2 linked regions of the Kluyveromyces lactis genome follow. Each later gene encodes a partner of the first gene's protein in a complex. Links are inferred from orthologs where the notes say so. Each region holds a gene or a part of one and is shown on either strand. Other genes may lie near its edges.

Region 1 (2,299 bases):
GACATTTATCAAATACGATAAGACCGTTCCAGTGAAAATTATGGAAGGGTCTGATGTGAAATTTTCATATATACCTACGGATCTAGAATACGTCCTTCAAGAATTGCTTAAGAACAGCTCGAGAGCACATATTGAAAACAACGTTGACAAAGATGTGGAAGTAACAATAGTGAAAAACGACGATCAACTTGAGATCAGAATCAGAGACTTCGGAGGCGGTATAGATCCACAGGTAGAAGACCGAGTCTTTGATTATTCTTTTTCCACAACGGTGAAGGAAGAGAAGGACAGCGGTATGAGCGATTATGTTTTACCTGGTCAAGAAGTCCAAAACGTTGCAGGTATGGGATTCGGACTTCCAATGTGCAAAGCGTACCTAGAGTTGTTCAATGGTACACTTGACATTCAGTCATTGTGGGGATGGGGTACTGATGTTTATATACGATTGCACGGTCCATCGGATAGACTATTCGACAAATGAGAACACTGTACTATCATTCAGTCCCGGAGCTTTCCATTGCAACGTGTTTATACTGTTAGCGCTATTTACAGATATAATCCTATTTATTGAGAAACATATATTCATATATACAAGAAGTTATCACATGTCATGATTAGCTTCTGTTTGCAGTTCTTTGAGGAAGCACCGATATGTCTTTGTGAACCTTAGACATCAAACCTATTGCTTGGCATCTCTTAATAGCCTTTGTTAGACGACGCTGGTTCTTAGCCGATAAACCAGTTACATCTCTGTGTAATATTTTACCCGTTGATGTCACAAATCTTGACAAGAACTCTGGGTTGGTGTATAAATCAAGTGGATTGATCTTCAATTTGTTGAATGGGTCAAACGATCCAGGACGTACCCCAAACTTCTTATCTAAATGTATTCTTTCTAAGGAGAAATCAAATGGATTGTAAACGGAGCCCGGCTGAAAGTTTTTGATTAACTTGGATTCTAGCTTCTTGATTGTGGGCTTGCTATTAGCTTCCGACATACCTTCTTTCAGAAGTTTTTGGTCAAGACTGTTGCAGACATATCTTGTGGTAGAAAAGAATCTTGCGCAGCTGCGGGAAAACATTTCTTCTGATGTGTTTTAATTTATTCAATCTCTCGTTAACAGGCGTAGAAAGGCCCGAGCGACTTGGTTGTTTTCCTTCTCTTGCTTGCTTAATATTCATGTTATTGAATAAAATTTTCCATGTTGAAAAGATCTCTAAATTTCAAAAAAAAAGAGATTGAAATAAAGGATACTTAAGTCATTGCCAGGCATTCAACCTTTTTCCTGTTGTCAACCCAGTTTACGCAGATCAACCTTGGAGGTGTAGCGCGATTGATCGGAAAGCTCTTGCAGGAAGTCGGGCATCCCTGTGGATCAAACCCGGCGCGCTCCAGCACCTACAGGCCGATGCAATCGGCCTCCTATTCTTTGACCTGGCCAAAACTGATGATCCGTTTGCTGGGTACCGGCGACGGTACCGCTGAGCGCTGCTATGCCGGCAGTCAGGTTGGTTATAGCCAGCAAAATGGAGCCGAGTGCCTACCCAGGTCAGCGGTGCGTTGCGCTTGGTCACGTGTGAGATTTCGTGTGCCAGCATCGAGGCTAGCTGGCTTTCATTGTCGGTAACCTGCAGCAGTAATGGATCTTTGATCAGCGGCGCGCTGGCGCGCTGCTGCCGCACGTAGAAATCGCCCATAGCCAGCCGTGGGCCACAATCAAACGTTTACCCCAGCTTTTCGGCAGGGTCTTGATTCTTGGCTGGATCTGATGGGAATAATGAATCAGTAAATAACTGCGATTCTGAACTAATTCGAGGATTTTATCAATATTGGTGTGATTTCCAATGTAACATCAATTCATCTATTATCAGTCAGTGTTCTATCCGCTCTGGTGGTTATTCAGGTTAAGTAGGTTAACATATAAACGTAACAACAAATTAAAAAGCTGGAAAATATTACTACTTTTCCAGCTTTCAATCCATTAATCGTTAAATACAAAACTTTCTTCAGCTAGATTGTGGTCTTTTCTATAACTCTCGTCCAATATTAAATAATCATCTGGTTGTTTAGAGCTTACTCCTTTCAACCAAAACTGTTCACCGTAAGCTATCAGCATTGCCCAATGATACTCAAGTTCATGGCTACGAAGACATACTGCCAGATAACTATCAATGGGCTTACATACTAATGAAGACGATAAAACCATTAATTCAGCCTCATCTTCTTTTTTATTTGCATACTTAACGATAATTGCTTTAAGCATTTCTACCCAAGTATGGAAATTAAAAACAACTGTTT
Region 2 (2,451 bases), about 1.0 Mb from region 1:
ATTTCCCCTCGTTATTTCAATTCTGATTCCCTTCGAACAAGGATATCAGACTGAAGTACGAGAGGATATGGTTTTAACTGAATCTGTTAAAAGAACAACAATTGAAATGGCCTGCCATTTCTAGGGAACTAAAATAATAATAAAAAAGTACACGAACATCTCCTCTATCATATGGTAATATCTGCACTTCGAAAAGTGTATCCTGTCGCATGTTGCGGTTGGGAAAAAGCTCTCTCTTTACTAACAATATATTTTTAACTTTTGCGAACGAAACGTTTGCATGGTTATTTTTTAATTATTAACAGGTTCACCAAGAACCATACGTCTACAAGGCTAGACCAGATGGTGTCAACGTTATCAACGTTGGTAAGACCTGGGAAAAGATTGTTTTGGCTGCCAGAATCATTGCTGCCATTCCAAACCCAGAAGATGTTGTTGCTATCTCTTCCAGAACTTATGGTCAAAGAGCTGTCTTGAAGTACGCTGCTCACACCGGTGCTACTCCAATTGCTGGTAGATTTACCCCAGGTTCTTTCACTAACTACATCACCAGATCTTTCAAGGAACCAAGATTGGTTATCGTTACTGACCCAAGATCCGATGCTCAAGCTATCAAGGAATCTTCTTACGTTAACATCCCAGTCATCGCTTTGACCGATTTGGACTCCCCATCCGAATACGTTGATGTTGCTATCCCATGTAACAACAGAGGTAAGCACTCCATCGGTTTGATCTGGTACTTGTTGGCTAGAGAAGTCCTAAGATTGAGAGGTGCTCTACCAGACAGAACTCAACCATGGGCTATCATGCCAGATTTGTACTTCTACAGAAACCCAGAAGAAATCGAACAACAAACTGCTGAAGAAGAAGCTGTTGCTTCCGGTGAACAAACTGAAGAAGCCGTTGACGCTACTGAAGAACAAACCGAAGCTGCTGAATGGGCTGAAGAAGGTCAAGCTCAAGAAGAAGAATGGAACTAAACTTCAAGAATTCTTTAACTGAATTCCTGGAAGTTATTCCACCTTTTTTTTTGTTTAATTCATCATTCTATAATATAGATTCAATGCTTAGCATACTATCATTGTTATTATTATAGCTTCATGCAACAACTCTCAACCATCCGCTCATATTTTTAACTATTTTTACTAGTTTTTAAAACTCCACATCGTGTATAATTTTAATATCATTATTGATCCAGGCTAGTACCCGATAATTATACAAAGAATTGAATATTATTTAATTGATTGAACGTGCCAACTGAATATTTCCCCTTCAATGGTGCTTCAGTACCCAGTATGGCAATGTGACCCTTCTCGCATCTCTCATCGCTCTTATCCTCATCATGGTGATAATTTCCTGATAATGAAAATTTGAACATTGGAACATTCGAAAAAAAACTGAGCTTGCATAAAATAGAAACCTGCTGCAGAAGTAGTAAGTGAAAGTACCAATAAATAGGTCTTAGGTGTGCTTTAACTCTCAGCGAACTAGTTTGCGGGTTGTTCCATCAGTTATCACTCATATTTTCATATTTTGAGAAATGTCTGTACCCAAATCTAGGCTACTGAAGCTTGCTGAGATATCAGCCAAAGTTTTTGATCAAAATTTCAATCCAACAAATGCCAGAACTGGGTCTAAGATCCTAGCACAGAGGCTTAAAGGACCTGCTATTGCGAATTATTATGGTAACCCAGATTTTATCAGATTCAAGCAATTGAAGAAACTATATCCAGGCATGAACTTCGTTGATGAAGAAGAACAATATAGATTGACTATGCTTGAACTAAGAAAGCGTAGAGGTAAGGGTGCTCCAACTAAGAAGAGAGAGGCCTCTGGTGACGGTAAAAAGACCAAGAAGAGAAAGTGATCAAAATGAGCCCAGCCTATCCTTTTATCCCACTTAAAGGGACTTGCAATTAACATTTCCATCATATAAAAATACCTTGTATATAAATTATATCAGTCAGTTCAAATAGACCCAAGAATTTAACGAATTTCAACTATGTTTTTATTAAATACGAATATTCAAGTAAGATTCAAACTATGCAATCTGTGCCATTAATTGTGGTTGTGAGAGGGGTTTATATCGTATCTTGTTCCATTACCATCTTTAACTTTTTCCATAGTAAATCGATATCAATTGGATGTCTCGGTAGATTATGGTACAAAACACGATAGAGTTCATCTCTTCGTACATTAAGAACTGATCCCTGACTCACCATCTTCAAAGTCTCAACCGAGAACATCTGTCTTTGAATGGATTTCATGACGTTTGTGAATGGTTCAAAGGTCATGAAAAAGCTGATTGGATTATTCGATATTAATAAGTGATCATCATATACTTTGAACTTGATACCACCAGGTAACCTTTTAGCATCTTTTATCCGTAAAAGCAATGCAAATAAAGGGAAATGGTTGATAAGGGCCAAACTTAGTTCAAGCAACACTTTC

The links. The genes of interacting proteins can lie anywhere in the genome.
Region 2: RSM18 (region 1) and RSM27 share a complex: the UniProt entries of both Saccharomyces cerevisiae proteins name them as parts of the mitochondrial small ribosomal subunit. The link is inferred for Kluyveromyces lactis from reciprocal best matches to the Saccharomyces cerevisiae genes RSM18 and RSM27.

Annotation. Positions count from the first base shown.
Region 1 is NC_006041.1:409,200-411,498, forward strand, and holds RSM18 (mitochondrial 37S ribosomal protein bS18m), read right to left. Parts: upstream 1,083-2,299; coding exon 615-1,082; downstream 1-614. Other genes in the region: protein kinase PKP1, read left to right, coding at 1-481; KLLA0_E04577g (uncharacterized protein), read right to left, coding at 1,312-1,698; KLLA0_E04599g (uncharacterized protein), read right to left, coding at 1,983-2,299. UniProt on the Saccharomyces cerevisiae protein: Component of the mitochondrial ribosome (mitoribosome), a dedicated translation machinery responsible for the synthesis of mitochondrial genome-encoded proteins, including at least some of the essential transmembrane subunits of the mitochondrial respiratory chain.
Region 2 is NC_006041.1:1,440,313-1,442,763, reverse strand, and holds RSM27 (mitochondrial 37S ribosomal protein mS33), read left to right. Parts: upstream 1-1,540; coding exon 1,541-1,867; downstream 1,868-2,451. Other genes in the region: RPS0A (40S ribosomal protein uS2), read left to right, coding at 306-980; KLLA0_E16149g (uncharacterized protein), read right to left, coding at 1,214-1,378; GPI1 (phosphatidylinositol N-acetylglucosaminyltransferase), read right to left, coding at 2,082-2,451. UniProt on the Saccharomyces cerevisiae protein: Component of the mitochondrial ribosome (mitoribosome), a dedicated translation machinery responsible for the synthesis of mitochondrial genome-encoded proteins, including at least some of the essential transmembrane subunits of the mitochondrial respiratory chain.